Pelodiscus sinensis: one gene and its partners. The protein of the gene in region 1 interacts with the protein of each later gene in a biochemical or structural test. Links are inferred from orthologs where the notes say so. Each region holds a gene or a part of one and is shown in the gene's direction. Other genes may lie near its edges. The genes, in order: NOXO1, CYBA and NOXA1.

The links.
Region 2: the proteins of NOXO1 (region 1) and CYBA form a complex in vitro, tested with the Homo sapiens proteins (3 studies listed by IntAct). The link is inferred for Pelodiscus sinensis from reciprocal best matches to the Homo sapiens genes NOXO1 and CYBA.
Region 3: the proteins of NOXO1 (region 1) and NOXA1 form a complex in vitro, tested with the Homo sapiens proteins (2 studies listed by IntAct). The link is inferred for Pelodiscus sinensis from reciprocal best matches to the Homo sapiens genes NOXO1 and NOXA1.

Annotation. Positions count from the first base shown.
Region 1 is NC_134726.1:37,631,147-37,638,681, reverse strand, and holds the start of NOXO1 (NADPH oxidase organizer 1), read left to right. Parts: upstream 1-4,517; 5' UTR 4,518-4,587; coding exon 4,588-4,653; intron 4,654-4,820; coding exon 4,821-4,901; intron 4,902-5,024; coding exon 5,025-5,100; intron 5,101-5,829; coding exon 5,830-6,010; intron 6,011-7,030; coding exon 7,031-7,224; intron 7,225-7,535. UniProt on the Homo sapiens protein: Constitutively potentiates the superoxide-generating activity of NOX1 and NOX3 and is required for the biogenesis of otoconia/otolith, which are crystalline structures of the inner ear involved in the perception of gravity.
Region 2 is NC_134722.1:3,824,728-3,831,961, forward strand, and holds the start of CYBA (cytochrome b-245 light chain), read left to right. Parts: upstream 1-4,196; 5' UTR 4,197-4,299; coding exon 4,300-4,357; intron 4,358-7,234. Other genes in the region: MVD (diphosphomevalonate decarboxylase), read left to right, coding at 840-920. UniProt on the Homo sapiens protein: Subunit of NADPH oxidase complexes that is required for the NADPH oxidase activity that generates, in various cell types, superoxide from molecular oxygen utilizing NADPH as an electron donor.
Region 3 is NC_134732.1:857,925-865,715, forward strand, and holds the start of NOXA1 (NADPH oxidase activator 1), read left to right. Parts: upstream 1-4,740; 5' UTR 4,741-5,425; coding exon 5,426-5,599; intron 5,600-7,791.

The DNA of each region.
Region 1 (7,535 bases):
GGGGCTTGCCATGTGTTTGCACAGCGGGGCCTTGATTTAGCAGAGGCCTCAAGGCATGATGGCAATGCACAAAAGTGCAGCTGATTGAAAAGGGCGAGAGTCCCTCACATCGGCAGGCTCGGGACGCCCTGGCGTGGTCGGGGGGACAAGTGGCTTCCCGAGGCTGGGTAGGGGGCTGAAAATGTGCAAAGGGAATGCTGCTAGCAGCAAGATCAATGGGGTGTGGAGCATGCTTTCCCCACAAAGGGGTGGCCGCTTCATTGCCACCCCTCCGCTGCCCTCCTCTCCCGTTGTCTGGGCACAATGGCCTCCCAGGGCTCTCTCATTGTTAGACTCTGTGGGAGCTGATACCTCGAGGTGTCTGGGGAGGATGGGCCAGGCCCGGACTGGGGCAGTGGAGGACCAATGGGAAGAGCACGGCGAGGAAAGGGATACAGTGTTCTCTGGCCAGACTCCCCCTCTCCCCTTGTTCCTCTCCTGGAGTCGCTGGTCCTGCCCAGAGCTCCCTCGGGCCTGGCACGTCACTGTTCCTTGTGCCAACTCCTCAGCCATGGCAGCCTGCGGCAGCCCCTAGAATGACCCTCGGGTTTCTGGGCCGGCAGCCTGAGCTCTCAGATGCCATGCCAGCCCGGGCAGCTGCGGGCACTACCCCCTTTGCAGGGCAGGCTGCTGGCTCTGTGCAGCAGGGAGGCAGAGAGGGGCCGGAGCCAAGCCCCACGCTCTGTCCTCCCTCCCCTCCCGCCGTCTGCACACCCAGACCAGGCCCAGAACAGCCTGAGGGAATGAGGGAGCCGCTCCTGGCCAGTCTCAGCTATGAGGATGTGTCTCTGCTTCCAGGAAAACCACAGGGCCGGTCCAGGCACGCAGCCCTGGAGGAGAGATGATGCCGGGGGCTCTCTGCAGAGGAAGGGAGTGAGCCGAGGGGGAAAAGCGGCTCCATAGGCATCATTCCGGCACCCCCAGGGGAGCATGGCGAGCTAGCGGGTGGGAGGTGACATAGCCTGGCCCGCCTGCCCAAGCCGGAGCCCTCTGGGCGTGGCCACGGGTCACCCCGTGAGGGAGTGCTGCCAGTTGCGGCCTGCCCGTCCCGCCAGCTCTGCACCGGACCTCACTGGGAGGTGCCGTCCGTCCTCTTTTATAGGGGGCAGTGCTGGGTTTGCTACTCTGCCCTCCATTAAGACGGAAGAGGGCGCCTTTATGGCCTCCGTGTCGCTCTTGAGAGCAGAGGTGGAAAGGAAGCTCGTGTGCCCCTGTGCGGAGCTCCGGCAAGAAGAAGCAAGCTGCCCGGGCGCTCGGCAGCAGCTACTCCCAGCCGGGCTCCCAGGTCTTTCCTGCAGGTGCCTTGCTAAGCAGCAGGTAGCCAGGCAGGTGAAAGGGGCTGGCTGGGGGTGTGCTCCCCTGTCCGGGAGTGCTCCTTGCCTCCCTCCCCGGGAGGGCGGGGGGCTGCAGCGGTTCGTCCTCTTCCCGACTCTCAGGGAGCATGGGGCAGTGTTCAGCTTGGGCCTGCCTCTCCCAGCTGCCGAGGGGAGGCCAGAGGAGCATGCAGCAGGCTGTGCACTTTCCCCTCCCTCCCTGAGAGCCAGAGGAAGAAGAGCAGCAGCGACCTGGTGTGGGCGGCTGCAGTTCCCCCCCCTCGCCCTCTCAAAATGCCCCTTTGCCCCGCCCTGACTCCTGAACCCCCACAACTCCCTGCCCTGGGCTCTTCTGCACAAAATGCAACTGTCCTGTATTATCGAGGTACCTCAATGGCCGCCCTATTCCACTGGGTCTCCACTGGGTGGAGGGGGACTTGGCCGAACCACGTCAGTCCCGGCAATTCCACCTGTTCTCTCTTTCTCCAGCCATCCCTGTTCTGCTCCCCGGGGCTACACTGAGAGCCTGGCCTCCCGTGGGAGCAGGAGCAAGGGGGATCTTTGCACAGAGGAAAATCCACCGTCTCGTGGCTGGGTTTAGGAAATTCCACAGGCCTGGGGCATAACACGGGAGGAGGGCGGGGAAGCGCGTCCGCCTCCGGCGTTCACTCTGGTGTGCAGAACCAGCCAAACTCTGTGTGCCTGACGTTGGATCGGGAAAGAGGTGTGAGCCCGGGCCAAGCACTCAGCCAGCTCCGAGCCCGAGGCAGGTTAGGGCTCAGTAAATCCTGCAAGGCCAGGCTTCGGAGCTGTAACTACCTCGGGGCTGCAGAGGCGGCGGGGACATAGGTCACCTCTTGTAATAACCGCTCTGCTGCTCGGATTCCTGTTGCCCTGCTCTGCCCTTCAGGTGCCTCAGACAACACCGAGTCCCCCCAGAAGCCCCTCCCCTGCAGGGCGGTGGGTGCCTGAGGGAGCAGGGGTGAGTTATGGGGCATTTTACCTCTGACTCACCAGCTCTGTACGGGCCCAGGGTGGCGGAGGCTGCGTGTCACTTCTCTCCTGTGGGTGGCCGCTGGCGCTCTGGTGTCTGGTCACGGCTTGCCGAATGGGCGATTACCTCACGAACCACCGGGAAGTGACAGTCACCCTCCTGGGGCTAGCCGTGTGCCTGGCCCCGCTCGGGGCTCTCCGCTGCCCTCCTTTGGGTGTTCAACCTCTCGCCTGTTCCTGGCCCTGCTCTGGGCTCTCCGCTGCCCTCCGGGTGTTCCTGGCCCCGCTCTGGGCTCTCCACTGCCCTCCTTTGGGTGTTCGACCTCTCACCTGTTCCTGGCCCCGCTCTGGGCTCTCCGCTGCCCTCCTTTGGGTGTTCAACCTCTCACCTGTTCCTGGCCCCGCTCTGGGCTCTCCGCTGCCCTCCTTTGGGTGTTCAACCTCTCACCTGTTCCTGGCCCCGCTCTGGGCTCTCCGCTGCCCTCCTTTGGGTGTTCGACCTCTCACCTGTTCCTGGCCCCGCTCGGGGCTCTCCGCTGCCCTCCTTTGGGTGTTCAACCTCTCGCCTGTTCCTGGCCCGGCTCGGGGCTCTCCGCTGCCCTCCAGGTGTTCCTGGCCCCGCTCTGGGCTCTCCGCTGCCCTCCTTTGGGTGTTCGACCTCTTGCCTGTTCCTGGCCCCGCTCTGGGCTCTCCGCTGTGCTCCTTCGGGTGTTTGGCCTCGCGCCTGTTCCTGGCCCTGCGTGGGGTCTTGCCCTTCTTCCATTGTTAGCCCGGCAGCCATGGGCACTTCCTTGTGGAGAACCGCCATGTATCACCCTCAGCTCCCTCCTTTGGGAACCTGAGGTCAGCCACTGCCCTGACACCAAGCGTAGCTTAGGCAGAAGGTGAACCACCAAGTCAGCTGCAAATGCCAGGGAACCAGACTCGGCCCCGTTGGGCTCTGGCCAGGCGTGAACATCTTTCCTGGTTAGAAAGTACCTCCTGGGCTCTGTAGTCAGGCCCTCAGTATTAGGCCTTGCTCAGCCCGAAGGTGACGAGGGCTTTGGTTCAACACCGGCCAAGGGAAGAACCCCACCTGCTGAAACTCCAGGGCTAGTTCCTGGCGGGCCCGGGGTTTCCTCGGCCCTGGTGAGTGTAAGGGATCTGGGAGCAGAGTACCGCGCGAGATGGCGTGACTGCAGGCACAGCGCCGACAGGCGGAACCGAACCTGGGCCCTCCGGAACTTAGTGCCTGAGCCGCTACCACTTGAGCTGAAAGCTGGCGCTGAGCTCAGGCTGTAGAGCAGACTCCTTCTCTCTCTGTGTACGTGCTCTCGGCGCCGCTGCCTGGGATGGGGAACCACACTCAGTGGGGGCGCGGGCTACACAGGCAGCTCCTGTAACGGGCCAGGTGTGGAGCCTCTGCCGGCCCCTCTCCCTAGGTCAAGCCTGAGACACTGGTGTGTGTGTAGGAAGGCTGCCCAGCCTCTGGCCTATCACCATCCAAGAAAGGTGGGTGAGGTAATATCAGTCACTGGACCAATTTCTGGGGGTGAAAGAGATATGATCTCCAGGCAGCACCTCAAAAGTTTCTCTCTTCCATCCACAGAAGTTGGTCTATAGCTGATATTCCCTCACCCCAGCACTGACACAGCTACCACCCTGCAAATTATACCCAGGCCTGGCAATAACCCCCTCCAGCCCTCTGTGTCTAAATGCCCCAGATGTGTGTCCCCGGGCACCATGTGCCCCCCATGCAGGGAGCAAGTACCAGTTGCACTTCTGCCTTCCCAGGGCCACTTTCCCTTGGCCACCTGTTCGAATTCTCCAGTCAGTCTGGTCTGTGTCCCAAAGAAGCCCTGGACTTGTCGCCCAGGTATACGACGTCCAGCTCACCCCAAGGGCTGCCTTGCTCTCTGTCAGTCCGCAATGAGCTAGGCAATGTTGCGGAACCTTTCCCCACCGTGAGCGACTCCACGTGCCAATCTCAGCAGCCCCTTGTCCTGGCTTCTCATGGGAGAGCCCCTCGATGCCGTCAGTCGAGAGGCATGTCAGAATTGGCAGATCTTGGAATTTCTGGACCTCGTACATTTCTGGGTGGAGCAGGAAACAAAAAATGGGTTGTTTAGTTAAGTCTGACTGGCTGGAGCAGCCTGGGCCCCTCCCTCCTGCTCCTGAATATTTAGTCTGTGGAAGGCAGGTGCCGTAGCAGACTACAGGTTGGAGCCAGCGTGCAGGGAGACAGTGTCAGCCTGCAGGAGAGATGAGCTGCAGCCGGTACCCTGTTGACGTGAAAGCTGTTGGCTTGATGCAGTGCAAAAAAAAGAAGGTACTTTGACCCGCGTCTCTTTCCCGTGCATATATCCACCGCTGCAAATTAGGAAACTTCAGAGCTTTTTCATTTGGTTTGCACTTCGGCTTGCCCACAACAAAGTTGCGATCACAAAGTTATCAGCTGGGACAGGAAGACTCTAACTTTATCTTCCTCTCTTTCAGAAGTACATGATGGCCGTGTCCTGGTCCGATCGAAACAACGTTCTCATCTACAGGACTTTTGAAGAGTTTAAGAAATTCCATGTAAGTTACCAGCTCCCCGGAGATGCTTTCCAAACCGGTGTTAATTTGTTGCTGCCGTTACTAGGAGGTGGGAACACCATACTCATTCTTTTCCTCTCCTTTCCTGCTCTTTTGGTCACTCAGAAAGTACTGAAGAGAAAATTCCCCATCGAAGGCGGCTTACTGAAGAAATCTGATCGGAGCATTCCAAAGTTTAAAGGTAAGCAAGGGGATTTAACAAATGGGAGAGAGGCAGCGCAGACCAACAAAAATGACTGGAGGGACTAGAGGGAAGGCAACTGTCAAGGAAAGAAGAGTAGAGGTCTGTCACTGGTCCTGATTTACACCAGGGCACATCTACACAGCGGGGCAAAAGCTGAAATCAACGACATAACTTCAGCAGCGTCAATTGCGTAGCTTAAGTTGAACTAGCTTATTTCGGCTTGTGGCGCTGGCTACACAGCAGGAAGTCGGAGAAAGAGCACTCCTCCTCTGACTTCCCTGACTCCTCATACCATGAGGGTTACAGGAGTCAGAGTAAGTAATCCTCCAGCTCGCGGTTATTTCGACAGTGTCAAAATAACGGCTTGTAGTGTAAACGCTGACTGTGTTACTCCAAAATAACACTGCTGTGTAGACGTATCTAGTGTTGGGTTAAAAAAGGAAGGCCGTGGGTTTGTTTCCAGTTCAAATACTGATCCAAGCTCTTTGCAACACGATACAGTGCAGCTTCCATATACGATCAAAGGCAAAAGTTAGGCTTGCGACAAAATAGCACAAGGCATAGAAAATGATGAGACACAGAAATATGTAGCCGTTGATCCTAGTTCTATATGTGAAGTACTCAGGTGGGAGTCAGAGATGTGTAGACAGAAGGTAATGTGTACCAGGCAGCACCACGTTATAATCAGTATTTTGCTAATGGTGGTTTGCTTCTGTCACATCAAAGATGCAAAACTGATGCAGAGAAAGAACAGGAATTCGAGCAGGTCGCTGGAGAGATTGAAACTGCTGGAGACTTACTCCCAGGAACTGCTGAAAACAGATGCAAAAATCTCGCAGGGCGAAGATGTGATCCAGTTTTTCAAAGCGCAAACCCAAGACTTAGACCCTTCTTTTTCAGAAAACAGGTACAGACTAACTGCATTTTCCTGGCTTCACACATTTCTGCTTCAGAAACAGGGGGAGGGAAATTTCAATATTAAAATATGGAGGATTTTTTTTCCTGGAAAATGTTTTCCATTTTGTTACCTACCCTGAACGAATTAGAAATGCAGGACTGAAGTGCCAAAGAATGATAAAAACACTGATAAGCTTCCCCTAGCTCTTCCTCCTGTTCTCCTTGTGTCTCAATCCCTTTCTCTCTCTCCCCCCCCCCCATTCTCTCACTCACTTTTGCAGGACACCTTGCATTTTCTTGCTGTTGTTGGTTTCACTCAGACCATGGGTGCAACAGAGCAGAAATTAGAAATGGGCGAGTAGTTTCCTTGGGAATAACGTCTATCAGCAACACACTAGCTGCTTCCCTGCCTGTTCATTCTGTACAAGCAACTGCTTTTCAAACCTTAAGGACTGGCTTGTGTAAAAGGATGGGTGGGGGGGGGGTCAGTTGGCAAACAGCAAAACAATAATTATGGCCATTCTAAAAACGAGGCCGTTTTTATTTTACATGAAAGCCCGCTTGGAGGCAAAGCAAATGTCAGGGGTTTAATGATTTAATACCAACTACCAGTGTGTAGCCCTCTCCGATTCTTACCATTCAGCAGGGTCATTGCAAAACCCTGCAAAGTGGAAATGCAGATCTTGCTGAGAGCGTGGGCTAAGTGGGAAGGGAAGGAGCCAGGGACTTCTGAGATTTATTTCCAACTCTTGCCACTTTTTCACTGGGTGACTGAGCAAATCTCTCTAACTCTGTGCCCCTGTATCCCACCCATGAAGTGCCATAAAAACCACTTTTTTTGGAGAGGAGAGCGATGGTTGGGAATGTTTGCTAAGTGCTTTGAGATGTTATAGACTTAAATGATGCCTGCCCCTTGTCCTGATCTTCTGCATAGGGGCGAATTTCCCCCACCGCCTATTCCCCAGATGAATCCTAAATACAGGCTGCCCCCCGGCTTCAGAACAGACCCATATCAAACTTTACTTTCCAGCATTATAATTATGCCGTCAGAACTGGGCGATGGAAAGAAAGAACAGCCCAAGCAGCAGACCCCCTCTATTACTCAGCCAGTGGTCTCCCAAAGCTACCGCTGCATTGAAGACTACGAAACCAAAGACACCAAGAACAGACCCTTCAGCGTTGTCAAGGAGGAGGTTGTCGAAGTGTTAATCAAGGATGTGACAGGTAGATCTTGTGTGGACAGGTCATTTTCTTGTTCGGAGTATGAATTGGAGTGAGTTTTAGACTGGTGGGGTGTGTGTGTGTGTGTGTGTGTGTGTGTGTGTGTGTGTACACACATACACTGAATGCTATAACTTACCTTGTTTAGGGTTCTAAATATTTTCTCCAGAAGAAAAGAACCAGGGCAATAGGGTTTTCCAGCTGGTGGAGCAAGAAGTGTGAGTCTCAGGATTCCAGGTTTCTATTCCTAACCTTGCAGGTCCGTGAGCTGGGGGCTCAGGAATCCTGACCCCCAACTCACCCCCATTCACAAT
Region 2 (7,234 bases), on another chromosome or scaffold:
TACAGAATAAAGGGGAATAATCGCTTCTGTGGATCTGCTGTCAATGCTCCTACTAATGCACCCCAATATGCCATTAGCCTTCTTGGCTACAAGGGCGCCCTGTTGACTCATCTCCAGCTTCTCATCCACTGTAACCCCAGGTCCTTTTCGGCTGAACTGCTACTTAGCCAGTCGGTCCCCAGCCTGTAACAAGGCTTGGGATTCTTCCGTCCCAAGTGCAGGACTCTACACTTGTCCTTGTTCAACCTCATCAGATTTCTTTTGGCCTAAGCCTCCAATGTGTGTAGGACACTGTGGCCCTCATCTCTGCCCTCCAGTGTCTCTACCTCTCCCCCAGCTTAGTATCACCTGCAAACATGCTGAGGGTGCAATGCATCCCCTCCTCCAGGTCATTAATGCAGATGTTGAACAAAAGCAGACCTAGAACAGATCCTTGGGGCACTCCGCTAGAAACCGACCGCCAATCTGACATCGAGCCATTGGTCATTACCCGCTGGGTCCGACAAGCTTGCCAGCTTTCCAGCCACCTCTTGCCTGTTCCTCATCACTTTCCTCTCTTCGCAGTGCTTCCAAGCTTGTGTGATGCAAGCTGTCCCTGGGCACCCCGGGGTTACAGCCAGAGAGGAGGGCTGGGGAGCAGGGGCAGGCTGGTGCCCAGGGGCAGACCCTTGACCTGCCCTCCCTTGGACAGCAGGATGCTCAGAGGGTGTCTCAATTTCCCCATGCACAAGGCACTTGGTCAGCTGTTTAGTGCTGGCTGCAGCCTCTGCTGTACTCACAGCACTAGCGCTGGGGTCCTAACAGCCCTCTTCCCTCTAACTGGCTTTATTCCTCCACAGCCAGGCCCAGGTCCTCAGCTGCTGGATGATCCCGGCCTGCATCTGCTGGGAGCGGATGGGCTTCCCCGTCCCAGTGCCTGAGCAGCCGCCCGGCAGACGTGGAACGAGACGCTTCTGGGAGCGGGGAACCTGGGCCGGGGCTACGCTGGTTCCGTGGCTGGCACGCACGAGAGGCGTTCGGGGCTTGGCCATGGGGAGTTGGGGATTGTGGGGGAAGAGTAATGGGCTGACCAAAGCCCCCTCGCAGAATGTATGCAGCTGGGCCAGTGCCAGCCTCCAGCGCTACCCACAGTGCCTTTGCCCACGGGCCAGGGCCTCTCCCGGCTCTGGTCTGCCAACCGAGGAGGGCAGGCGCTATGAGGCGACGTCTCTGCTAGGAAGAGGACTGCGACTCGCCAGCATTGGCTGGGAACAGCTCCATGATGCTGGCGGCCCTTGGCTTGCCTGGGGTGGCCTGATGTGGGCTGACCTAGAGATGAAAGGCTCTTTCTTACCTGTCCCTTACCCAGCTGGCGCTGCATTCCTGTCTCTTCTCTCCTCCCCCCTGCTACTCTGGTTTTTAAAAATCCAGCACTAGCAGTCTGTTTGAAAAGCCCAGCTTCCTGATTGGTTTGAAGTGTAAATGCCCATGAATGGAACTCTCTGGACCGACACGCGTCTGGTCGTTTGTGACATTACATCCTGCCCTACTTCCCTCTGATTTGCTACAGGGCCGCACAACCCCCACAGGTAGGGGCTGGGAAGAGGGTGTCGTTCCTGAAGAGGCTGGAATGAGGCAGGTGAAATTCCTGCATCCCATGACCGGCACTAACCATGCACATAGGACTGGGGAGTTACTTCAGCAAACATCAGGAGTCAAGCCCCCAGGTGTTCGGCAAATTCCAGATATTCTTTGCCTACCTCCCATTCCCATATGCAGCTCCATGGTGCGGAGTGATTTGTCACTTCCCCAATTAAAGTACCTCCCTCTTCCTATTGGAAGGGTGGTGCTGTGCAACAGCTGCAGTGTTCCGCCCCAGAGGCAGCTGCATTTCAGAGGTGTGATCGCTAGTGCAAATCCAGCCCCTAGTGCATGTGAAATGGAAGGCCTGTAGTATCCAGCAGTGCGAGTGGCTTTATGCAGCATCTTTTCCTGATGTCCCACCCAACCATCCTGCAGTTACTTGCACCTGAATAGCAGCTTCTCTCTGGTGGGACACACTGGTGGTAGCTGGGCTGTTGCCAGTGCTTGCTTACTCAGGGTGAGTGTGGCTACAGGCTGCCTGGTTGGCTGAGTATTTTTTTAAGCCTAGAGCTCATTTAATGTCTTGGCTGCTGCAGTCCCTTCCCACCCAGCTGTTCCCACTAGGGCCTGGTTTGATCCTGAAAGCCCCAGTCTGGGGGAAGTGCCAGAGGGAAGGTTACTATGGCAATAGTGCTGCCCGTTCAGGAGGGATGGGGAGCCATGGGGGTAAGGTGTGAGATGGGGGTCCAGCCCCCTCTTGGGTTGGAGGAAAAGCCTAAGGCAGGGGTCTCCAACCTCTTAAAGCAAGAGATCACTTATGAAATGTAAGTGCAACTCAAGGTCTACCAACCACTCTGGCCCCGCCTCCTTTATGCCCCTTCTCTGAAGCCCCGCCCCTACTCCATCCCCCCCCCCCCTTCACTTTCATCAGGCTGGGGCAGGCAATTAGGGTGCCGAAGGGGGTTCTAGGGGCAGGCTCTGGGCGTGCAAGGGTGCTCCGGGCCAGGGCAGGAGCTTAGGGTGCAGGAGGGGGTTCATGACTGGAGTAGAGTTTCAGGGTGTGGGCTTACCACAGGTGGCTCCTGGGCAGTGGTGCAGTGGGGCTAAGGCAGGGTCATCCCTGCCCTGGCCCTGCACCCCTCCCAAAGGTAGCCAGCAAACTCCCTCCATCCCAAACCCTGTAGTGCCCCTCTCTGCTCTGTGGAGACAGGATACAGGGTCGGAGAGGGGGCAACTTGACATCAGCACCCCTCTTCTCCCTCCGCTGCCCTGCATAGAAAGCAGGAGGCTCTCGGGGGTGCAGGTAGGAAGCTGCAAAGCAAAGAGCAGCTGTGCCACAGGCTTGGGGGTGGCGGGGGAGGGAGCTGAAGTGCTGAGCTCGACAATCTCTTGGCCAAACCTGTCAGAGGCGCCAAGCTCCATCAGTAGGTCCCGCTGTACTGGTTGGTGGCCGCTGAGCTAAGGGGTGGGCCCCGGTTTGCAGGCCTAGGTGGGGGAGAGCTTGCTGGACCAGGAGGAAAGTGGGGGAGCTCGGAAGGGAGGAGGCAGGAAGCTGTTTGGGGGATAAGGCAAAGGGTGCACTGGGCCCTAGGGGGAGGGGAGATGGGTGCAGCCTGCTGCAGGCCAAGAACCCACAGCGGTGAGGTGAGGAAACTGATTGATTTCCTCACCAACTGATGGCAGCTGTCACCCCTTCAGCTGCGGTTGCCAAGCCCCAGGCAGGGGGAAAGCATTTCAGGCCAGGTTGGGCCGGGGAGCCTGCTGCCCCCACAGGGCCGGGCTCTGCTGCTGGCACACGGCCGCCGTCCTCTTGTTCTCCACCCTCTTTGGTAGCCCTGCCTTAGCAGGGGTGGCGGGCGAAGGCCCAGCTCGGGAAGGCAAGTCCCTGCCCTTTCAGCAGCCTTCCTCCCCCCACCGCTCCGTGCAGCCCAGCCCAACCGCACGGCTGAGCGGGATCGTTCCTGGCCAGCCAGAGGACTGGGGTTGCCAGGCTTGGCCCCAGTGGGGAGCATAGTCCGTTTGCCTTCCCTTGCCTATGCTACCCACCACCCCCGCTCTGCCCCTGCCATGCTGTGCGACTGGGGACAGGTCCTGATGGCTCGGTGCCTCAGTTTCCCCAGCTTTAACCTTGTTGAGAGCAAGGCCCTGCCACTCCAGGATCCTGTTCCCAGCCCTACCACTGATGCCAAGAGTCCCCGTGGCTCATCCAGGCTTAGCATTTTCGTAGCAGAAGGGACCCCCCCCCTCCGCTCAGCACCCCACAAGTGTCCTACAGCGGAGGGGTGACACCATAAGCCTGGCACTGACCCCTGCCCACGGTGTTCCTGCCTGACCCTGCGCAGGGTCCTCGGCAGGGCGGGAAGCCGCTGAGAAGCAGCCCAGCCAAGCACCCGCCTGACCCAGCCCTGCAGCTGCAGAGGAAGGAGCCTCCCTGACCCCGGCTCCTGGCTGGCAGCCGGAGGCCGCTGCGCTCCCGTGCCTCAGTTTCCCCGCGTGCCGGCTGAGCGCTGCCCCCGCCGGCGGGGAGGGGGAGGGGGCGGGCGGCGGAGCCGGCGGCGCCCCGGGCCCGCTGCCGCCGGGGGAGGGAGGTTCCGTGTGCGGCTCCCCGGCCCGGCCCCGAGAGCCCCGCCCGCCGCTGGGCGGCCCGCTGCCCCAGGGCGGGGCCAGCAGCGGGGCCGGGCCGGGCCGGGGCGCAGTGGGTCCCCGGGCTGCCGCTGGTGCAGCCAGAGCGCAGCCATGGGGCGCATCGAGTGGGCCATGTGGGCTAACGAGCAGGCGCTGGCGTCCGGGCTCAGTGAGTGGGGCGGGGAAGAAGGAAGGGGAGCAGGGGGAGAGGGTAGGGAGGGGAGCTGAGGAGGAAGGGGGGTAGGGAGGGGAGCTGGGGGAGGGGGGAGCAGGAGGATAGGAAGGGGAGCTGGGGGAGGGGGAGCAGGGGGTAGGAAGGGGAGCTGGGGGAGGGGGAGCAAGGGGGTAGGAAGGGGAGCTGAGGAGGAGGGAGGGGAGCTGGGGGTAGGAAGGGGAGCTGAGGAGGAGGGGGGAGCAGGAGGCTAGGAAGGGGAGCTGGGGGAGGGGGGTAGAAAGGGGAGCTGAGGAGGAGGAAGGGGACCTGGGGGTAGGGAGGGGAGCAGGGGTAGGGGGTAGGGAGGGGAGCTGAGGAGGAGGGAGGGGAGCTGGGGGAGGGGGGAGCAGGGGGGTGCTGGTGGACGAGGGCTGGCCTGGTAGGCGCTGGGGAGGGGGGTGCAGGGCTCAAGAGGAGGTTGGAAGTGGCTGCCTGCCTGTCCCAGGATCATTGGCACTGGGGGGCCAAGGGAAGGCTCCTCTCTGGGTCGTGGGGTCTGAGCAAAGCCCACCCCTCACAGGTCCCAAATTGCAAGATCCTCGCTGAAGACTCCCCACCCCCCGCCCGGGGGGCCTGGGCAGCAGGGGCCGCAGGGCAGCGCTGGCCATTCGGGCAGTGGTTGGGCCAGGGTTGAGGAAGTGAAAGACTGAAATGGGGAAGGAAACAGCGGGGCTGTTTTTCTCTGAGGCCTCTTGCTTAAGGAGGCGCTGCCATTGGCCTGATAGCATCTGGTAATAACAGGGCCACGAAAACTCCCACCGCAGGGTGGGTTCGCTGCTTGCGCCACCAGCTTCGCTTCTGTAGCGACACCGGAGTGCACGGGGCCCTGTTCACACCAGGGAGCTGTGCTGCTTTGTACCGTGCCGCCCCCCGTGCGAAGGCCGTTACCCCCGTCTAAAGCGCTTGCAACTAGGATCGTGCAGGAAGGGAAATAAATATCCGCACACAGGGCTGACAGCGTCCACGCGGCCTCCCCCAGGGACATAGCGACTCTGCAACAGGGAGCCAGGCCTCCGCTTGACCCACAGCTCTGCCGCTGGGAAGAGTTTGTGCAGGCGTCTCTTCTTCCAGAGAAGGAGCTAGGATCCCCCATGGATTTGTGACATGCAGGTCCCTCTCCCCCGCCCCAGCCATGACCTGGTTGCAAACTTTGCTTTAGCTGGCATCCAGCGAGGAAAATCTCTCGATTGTAGCCGGTTGTGTCGCTGGGACTCGCCGACGCTGGAATCAGGACACAGTGGGTGTTGCGGGGGCGGGGCTGGCGGGAAGAGAGGAATGAGATGGCAGGAAGGGAGCCTTTTGCTGCTTGTGACTGGGCGTTGGTACCGTCAGGTGACTGTCACCACCGGGTGACATGGTGACAGGGGGCAACCTGGAGTCTGCCGGAGTTCTAGGTGTGGCCCGTGAGACCTTTTGTTACCCATGCCTGTGCGCAGGGTTGCCAGATTCCACTGGTTTTCCATCCACAGTTGTTTTTTTCTACTTCTTTAGTCTGGCGCTCTCTGGTCCAGCAGCATCCGTGGTCCGGCATGACTTTAGTTGTCCACTTATCGTGGGTGTGGCCAAGTTTCCCGCGGTCCCATAAAGTTGGGCTGTGCTGTGATTTAGCTCTGATTTACCCCTCAGTGTCTTCTCAGAGCCCAGCAAGCAGTGGCAGGGCTGGTCATGCTGCCAGACAATACTGACCTCCTGGCAGACTCTCTGGTTCGGCACCTGTATTCTCTGGTTGGGACTAGGGAGGTTCCACCTGTATTACTAAAGTGACGCGCATGTAAAGCAAGGAGGTGTGAAGTGAGGTGTGCGCTGATTGGCTGTGCGCTCCCTCTGCGTCCAATCACAGCGCCGCTACGGTTCAGTCGGCACCGCCCACACGTTTTAGGTACGCCAGCGCAGGGAGTAAAACCGCCCTCGCCCGGGACACTGGGTTGGGTGCAACATCTTGCAGCGCCCTGAGATGGCGGATGCTGCTTGTGCGGCTGGCTCGCTAGCCTGGGTGGCCCATCGCTGCATTGCGGCCTAGTTCCTATGGACAGCTGGTCGTCTCCGAATCCACCCTCAGCCTGGCCCCCTTGCTGGCAGTGAGGGTTCAGACTGGTAGCCCGAAATACTGTCCCTTGGGCGTGAAATTCGGGGCCTACTGAAGTCGTTGGCAAAACTCCTGCTGGCTTGGATGGCTCTGGGCTATTGGCGGCGGGCGGAACGGCAGGCGTGTCGTCTGGCCATAGCAGTGTGTCTGAACAACAAGGGGGTGCCATGCGCTAGCCCCCCCGGTACATTCTGCGGCACCTCCCTCATGCTGCGGCCACGCTGCTATTTTCACTGAGCTGGCTCCCTCTAAGCTAGCCACCGCCGCCCACTGTGGGACGCTCCCCCATTGCAGGGTGGACCTACCCTGGCTCTCCTGCCAGCTCTGCAATGGGGACGCGCGCAGAGCGAGGGAGCTGGGGAGAAACAGGCCAGCACCTGCCGGAAGCGCAAACCCGCAAATGGCCGGTTTATAAACGGGAATGTGCAACGCTGTAAGCAAAACGCGCAGCTGCTGGCAAGTCCTATGCCCGTGCCCAAGCGTTAGCAATCGCCCGCCTGGATCGGGGTGGGTCCGGCAGGTCTGGGAACCTGTCCCAACGCCAGCGGCTTTTGGCCAGACGCAAGGCATGGATGGACCAGGCTGTCTGGTGAGAAGGCTCCTCCATCCATCACGTAGCATCCGACCTGTGGCCCGAGGCAGGCGCGGTCGTAGCACTTGGAACCCTTACCCGTGCCAGCTGGGGAGCTGCCTAATTAGTGATTGGCGCCTAATTAGTGTGTGCCTGCCACTATCCCTGCAAGTGC
Region 3 (7,791 bases), on another chromosome or scaffold:
TTCTAAATGGAAAAAAAAACCTAAGAAAGTTTGGTTTCAAATTTTGTATGAAACAGCAATTAAAAAGATTGCGTAAACCCCTAAACTACTCAATTTTACAGATAATGAGGCCTCTATTAGCATATGTGTAGTATTTTAGATTTTTGTGCTAACATTTCAGAAAATGTGCTAACATTTCAGAAAATATTACTTAAACTTATCACATACCTGAAGCAGGCATGTACTATCAGCCTCTTTTTAAAGGGGGAATAATGGAGAGAAGCTGCTATGTGCAATTGTGATAGAGATGTCTACAGATAAACTCTGTATTATTATGTTACACATACTGTAAAAAGATCTGAGAAACGATGTCGTAACAAAAAGAACCCAAAAGTCACAAAGTAAAAAGGGAGAGGCAGATGACACTACCTCTATCCTACTCTCTCAGGAATAGGAGTAAAATATTTTTTCCAAGACCTGTGCTCATTTCAGCTTTGCAGTTCAACTTTAACACACTTCATCTTAAGGACTAAAACACTGTTAAGTGTCTTCGGAAAAAAACATTCTGGAGCACAGAAACAAGCAAAAGCTTCAAAGTGCAACTTTGTGGGGTTTAGTTTTCCTCCTCTAAACTTAAGAGTTTTCTGCAGACTGTTAGTCTGATACAGTGTCAAATGAGACAAAATATGACTTAGATTAAAGCCATTAATTTTTTTGTAACAAAAACCCTTTATTTAATTACTGTGGCTGTATCTAGACTGGCCAGTTTTTCCAGAAAATCAGCCGCTTTTCCGGAAAAACTTGCCAGCTGCCTACACTGGCCGCTTGAATTTCCGCAAAAGCACTGACTTCCTACTGTAAGAAATCAGTGCTTTTTGCGGAAATACTATTCTGCTCCCGTTCAGGCAAAAGTCCCTTTTGCACAAAGCTTTTGCACAAAAGGGCCAGTGTAGACAGCTCAGATTTGTTTTCCGCAAAAAAGCCCCAATCGCGGAAATGGCGATCGGGGCTTTTTTGCGGAAAAGCGCGTCTAGATTGGCACGGACGCTTTTCTGCAAAAAGTGCTTTTGCGCAAAAGCGTCCGTGCCAATCTAGACGCTCTGTTCTGAAAATGCTTTTAACGGAAAACTTTTCCATTAAAAGCATTTCCGGAAAATCATGCCAATCTAGACTCAGCCTGTATGTATAGAACTACAACAAAAAGCGATTATAAAACTACCTGTGCAACAGGTAAATCAAAAATGGCCACTACTTCTGCATACAGTTACTACAGATTCTGTCTCCCCATTTACAAAGGATTGTCAGAGGGATTTACACCCAGGCATACATTGAATTTTTTGGGATGTATTTCACTTTGCATTGGAGTATCTTCTTGTTGCCTGGGCATAAATGTTTATAAAAACCATTGGGAATCAGAAGTCCTGTTACCTGTTGTATGCTTATGAGTAAGTCATTTTCCCTGAGTAAAAAAGTGGTTTGTTTAGAGTACTTGGCAGGAAAATTGTGAAGTATTCTGAGATGTGAAGTATTATGTAAAAGGATAAAGCACTATTACTAATAAATGTCATTGAAACCTATGTCTTGTTAATGAAAATCATAGCTCTGAACCAATGGCATTAAAAAATAATTTAATTGTTAGAGACTGATAAATCTTTGTTGCATATGGAAGTCTCTGAGGGAATGGCTATTCCCAGTCTTGGATATGAGGGCACATTAAAATTAATGTAAAGCACTGCACTAGTCACTTACATACACAATTCAGCAGTAACAGAATACTATCATGGCCACAATTTATACATTGATCAGATGGGGCAGATGTGTTTGTTACTGAGGAATTTCCACATAGCTCATAAAAAAAAAGCTCTATAAAGGGACAGCTTCTTTGCATCTACCTTAAAGGACGCCTATAGGTACATCTACACTACAATTCTTACAGTGGCACAGCTGTACTGCCACAGCTATACTGCTGTAACATCACCCGTGGAGCAGCTCTTTGCCAGTGGGAGAGAGCTCTTCTGTTGGCATAATTAAACCACCCAGAGTTGCATTAGCTATGTTGGCAGAAAAGCATATCTTGCCAACATAGCACTTGTCCACGCCAGCACTTTGGTTGGTGAAATTTCAGTCAGTCAGGCGTGTGTTTCTCATACCTGCGACAGCCTTACCACCAAAAGGGCTAGAGTAGACAAGGCCTGCCTCTTCCCATTTAAACCCTGCAGCTTGCAATTAGCACAAAAGTATTCCCAACAGCACTGCCTGTTAGCAATTTTACTTATTCTGCCTCAACTACAGTAAACTTCCAATAATCCAGCACCTTTAGGACCCAAGGGATGCCGGATTATCAGATATGCCGGACTATCGGAAGGGGGGGCTATGAGGGGTCTAAGGTGGTGTGGGGGGATGCCACCCCAGACCTCTCATAGCCCCCCCTTCCAATAGTCCGGCTTTGCCCCAGGAGTCCCCAATTCAGCCGCTGCTGGTCAGTTTCAGCAGCAGCTGAATCAGGACGCCTGCAGCAGAGCAGCTGGGGTGCTGCCGGGTTGGTCCGGTAGCACCGCCTCTTGGCGCTGCGAGATCAACCCAGCAGCACCTCAGTTGCTCTTGGGGATGCCTGGGGTAGAGCAGCTGGGGTGCTGCCAGGTTGGTCCCACAGCACCAAGGGGCGGCACTACCGGACCAACCCGGCAGCACCCCAGCTGCTCTGCCCCAGGCGTCCCCAAGTCGGCTGCTGCTGAAACTGACCAGTGGCTGACTCTGGGAAGCCCGGGGCAGAGCAGTTCTGCCTCAGGCTTCCTGGAGTCAGCCGCTGGTCAGTTTCAGTGGCAGCTGAATCGAGGACAGCTGGGGTACTGCCGGGTTGGTCCCGCAGCGCTGAGGGGCAGTGCTACGGGACCTACCGGCAGCATTCCAGCTGCTCTGCCCCCAGATTCCCCAATTCAGCCGCTGGTCAGTTTCAGCAGTGGCTGAATCGGGGAAGCCGGGGACAGAGCAGCTCCAACGGTCCGGCTGCCCAGAGCACGTACCATCAGATGCCGGACCAATGGAGTTTTACTGTAATTGGAATGCTATCACCTGAGGCAGTTTCTTTTTTAAACTCACAACTAGAAAGCTCCATTTTCTCCTTTCCCAAAAGCATTTTGTGATGCTGTAGAAGGCTTCGTTTACACTACACAGCTTTTAGCAACATGGCTGCGTCACTGCTGATTTCTAATATCATGGCTGTAATGTAGCTGCTATTTGTTGGCTCTTTTGCCAACAAAATACTTTCACTCTTAACAAAAGTGCTCCTGTTGACAAAGAGCTGTTCACACTGATACTTCTTGTCAGCAAAACTTTTGTCTTTTACAGGGGTGTCATTTTAACACCTCAGCTTTGTCTACACTATGCAGTTTTTAGCAACAAGGCTCTGTTGACACAGCCCTGTAGCTGGAAGTCAGCACATGTGAACATGGTCAACACTTTCACCAGCAAAATACTTCTAGCTCCCAAGAGTGACTTTCACTTTTTCTGCAGGGGTGCGTCTAGGCTGGCAAAATCTTGCCACCTGTCTAGACTGGCCGTGAGTATTTGCGCAAGAAAAGTCAGTGGTTCTTGTGCAAATACTTTGACGCTCCTGCTCAGGGATAAGCAGGGATGTTTCAGCGGCAGCTGAATCGAGGCCAGCTGGGGTACTGCCGGGTTGGTCCTGCAGCATTGAGGGGCACTGGTCAGTTTCAGTTCCTGCTCAGGGATAGTCAACCTGTGGAACTCCTTGCCAGAGGAGGCTGTGACGGCTAGGACTATAAGAGAGTTTAAAGAGAAGCTAGATAATTTCATGGAGGTTAGGTCCATAAAAGGCTATTAGCCAGGGGATACAATGGTGTCCTTGGCCTCTGTCTGTCAGAGGCTGGAGAGGGATGGCAGGAGACAAATCGCTTGATCATTGTCTTTGGTCCACCCTCTCCGGGGCACCCGGTGCTGGCCACTGTCGGCAGACAGTATGCACAAAATCATGCCAGTCTAGACGCAGCCCAGGAGCGTGCTCCTGCGGACAAAACAGCGTTCACACTTGCACTTGCCACAGCAAAACGTTTGTCATGGGGCGAGCGTCAGGGGTTAAGCCCCGTTAACGTCAAAGGTTTGTGAACCAATCGCAAGTCAAAGTCCCCATTGCCGGGACGCTACATCAACACCCAACTGCACGTTCCATCCCGCAGCGCCAGCCCGACACCCAGCGGCCGCGCTGAGAACTGCAGCGAGCTGCCAGCGGCTCGCACACGAAGGCCCATCAGCCCGGCCGGACCGCGCAGCCCGCACCCCCCGGACCGGGACACGCCGGGAGGGGGAGGGGCACTTCCGCCAGGCTCAGCGCGCGGGACCCAGGGAGTCTCCCCGGGCCTCGGGCCCCCACTCGGGGGGGCGGCGCCCCGACACGCGCCACGTGACCCCTCGCGAGACGCTGGGGGCGCGTGCAGGGTCGGGCAGCCGGTCCCCGGCCCCGCTGAGGCGCTGCGGGCCCGTCCCATCGCGCGGCCCGGGGCCAGGCCGCTGGGACCCGCTGCCCGAGGGCGACGCCCCGGCCCCGGCCACTCACCTGACACACGCCGGAAACCGGAAGCAGAGGCGGGCTCTGCGGTGCGGCGCCCAAACCCTTCCCCGCAGCCCGGCGGGTTCCCTGTGACGCCCGCTGCAGCGCCCCCTAGCGGCCAGGCGGCGGGTTTGCTGCGGGCGCCGTCCCGGCCGGTCTCAGGCAGTGGGGCGCTGACTGCGGCCGCTCGCAGCCTCGCTGGCTTGGCAAGCCCTGGCTCGGCTTTCGCAGCAGCCCTCGTGTTCCAGCCCTCGGCACAAGGCTGCGTTTTGAGAGAGGAAATGTGGAATTAAAATGTATTTTTGTGTCAAGCTTTGGGCACCGTGTCACGTCCTTTGGCGCTCACGTTTTTGGATTGTATTAATATGGGGGTTCTGACTGCCCAAAAGTTTAGCACCTCATCGCACAACACGCAGAGAGCACCTGGCCCTACGTGCTTCGGACCTGATTTTATACATTGCACCTTTTCTTTGTGACATACAGTAAATATTCAGCGTGCAGTGCAACAGATGAACAAATCTGTGTTTTACTGCTTTATACAGATTTGAGACCAGGCCTGCTTTCAGTTATACCCAAGTGCCACTCTCTGTCTGTCAGCAGAGATTAAGCAGTCTCTCTCTGTCAGTAGATAGGTTGACCCCTCCTACTTTTGCTCATTTCCTTGAAATTGTTGTGTTTCTGAACCCATTGAGTAATAAAGGGAATCTTCAGCAAAATAAGATTTAGAGGCTGCTAGACTTCCTTGTCAGCCCTGAATTCCAGGCAGGTGCACCTGGCTGTCAGTAAAGAACTGGGTGAGGTTTTTGGCAGCTTCCAAGACAGCCAGACCCTGAAGGACTTTTCAGAGGAATCTGGTTTCTTTGTGTCTACAGAGACAAAATGGCATATCGAGACTTAGTGAGAGGCTGGCATGAAGGAACTCTGGCTACGGATAAGGGGGACTGGGACTCTGCCTTGAAAATCTTCTCCAGTATTGAAGAGCCATCCTCCAGAATCTATTTCAACATAGGCTGTGTGCATCTCTTAACAGGGAACCTCGAGGGAGCCTTGCAAGTGAGTAAATGAAAGGAGAGTAAAGCAAGTCAAAAATACTGGAAGGGAATCTTATATTCTGTGTTTACTTTTCTCTGGGGAAAAATAGGGACAGTCAACTCTGAATGGAACGTGAAAATCTGCAATTATAGTATTTCCTAGGAGATTCGCCAGTTACTATTATTTATATTACCCATTCTATCTGTGCTATGGTAACAGAAAATGATACTTTGCTACTGAATGAACCTTACAATACATATTTCAGAGGAATTTACGATTACCTGACAAATCTAATTCTATTCCTGCTTAAGAGTCTGAGAACAAGCCATTTTTCTTATGTTTTGTTTCTTCTCTACCCTCCATCAGTAATGACCTTGATCACTGAAAAATCTTAGATTTGTTACATGGAAAAATCTTGGTAATTTTTCCAGTGTGCCCACGAATTGCTAGTGGCTCTTTTAAGAGTAAATATATATAATTGCCACAGCGCTCAGGGCGGGTTACAACTGAGAGGCCAATCCCAGGTCAGACTGTCAGAAAAAAGTGCAGACACCCCAAACTAGTGGTATGTTCTGTAATTAGATAACACCAAGCCAGTAGCAAGTCTGTGCTCCTAGGTCACTCTGGCACTTTAAAGATTTAATTGGGCATAACCTTTCATGGGCAAAAACTCACTTCTTCAGATGCATGGTGTGGAAATTACAGAGGCAGACATAAATTTTCATTATTTATAAATATTACTTATTTATTCATTATTTATGTAACTTCCACTCCATGCATCTGAAGAAGTGGGTTTTTGCCCATGAAAAGTTATGCCCAAATGAATCTGTTACTCTTTAAGGTGCCACAGGACTTCTCATTATTTTTGCATATACAAACCAACATGACTAACCCTCTGATACTTGGATTACTATTTTAGTCTCACCATGCAAAATAATGCACACTGGAAAATGTAATCCCAACTATACATATAAAATGATGGAGTCTAAATTAGCTGTTACCGATTAAGAGAGAGATCTTAGAGTCACTGTGGATAGTTCTCTGAAAACATCCACTCAGTTTGCAGAAGCAGTCAAAAAAGCTAACAGAATGTTGGGAATTGTTAAGAAAGGGGTAGAGATTAAGACAGAAAAATGTGTAGGAGGATGGAATTCCTTATGAGGAGATATTAACAAGACCGGGTCTTTTCAGCTTGAAAATAAATGACTGATGGGTCGGGGGATATGTTAGAGATCTAGAAAATCATAAATGGTGTGGAAACATAGAATAAGGAAATGTTATTTATTCCTTCACTGACATAACACAAGAAACTCACCCAGTGAAATTTATAGGCAACAGATTTAAAACAAGCAAAACAAGTTCTCTCTTCATGCTCAACCTGTGGAACTGTTTGCCGGGAGGTAGTGAAAAGGATCAAACTATAACAGGGTTCCAATAAGAACAAAATAAGTTCAAGGAGATAGGTCCCTCAATGGCTACTAGCCAGAATGGGCAGGGATGGTGTCCCGAGTTTCTATTACTTTTTCCAGAAGCTGGGAATGGGCAACAGGGGATGGATCATTTGATGATTCCCTGACTTGTTCATGCCTTCTGAAGCACCTGGCATTGACCACTGTTGGCAGAAAGGATATTGGGTTAGATGGAAAATTGGTCTTACCCAGTATGGCCATTCTGATGTTCTTTATATGGAACCCAAATGTATCTGCCTCTGCTGTAACCCGCTAGATCCCAGAGCTGAGATAGAGCCCAGGATGGGGTTCTGATTTGACAACCACTCCCATGAACTAAGTTTACCACAGCTATGCAGTGGCTCCCTTTTCTCGTTTGGAAAGTAGGCCTAGCAGTGGGTTTAATATAAACAGGAACACTGACTTTTCTGTGTATGGTGAGGAATCTTTCCATTCTCTACTCCATATCCACCCTCTCCTCAACACCACGGTTACGTCTAGACTGGCATGATTTTCCGCAAATGCTTTTAATGGAAAAGTTTTTCCGTTAAAAGCACTTGTGGAAAAGAGCATCTAGATTGGCACGGACGCTTTTCCGCAAAAGCACTTTTTGCGGAAAAGCATCCGTGCCAATCTAGACACGGTTTTGCGCAAGAAAGCCCCGATCGCCATTTTCACCATCGGGGCTTTCTTGCGCAAAACAGTTTTTAGCTGTCTAAACTGGCCCTCTTGCACAAAAACATTTCCGGAAAAGGGCTTTTGCCC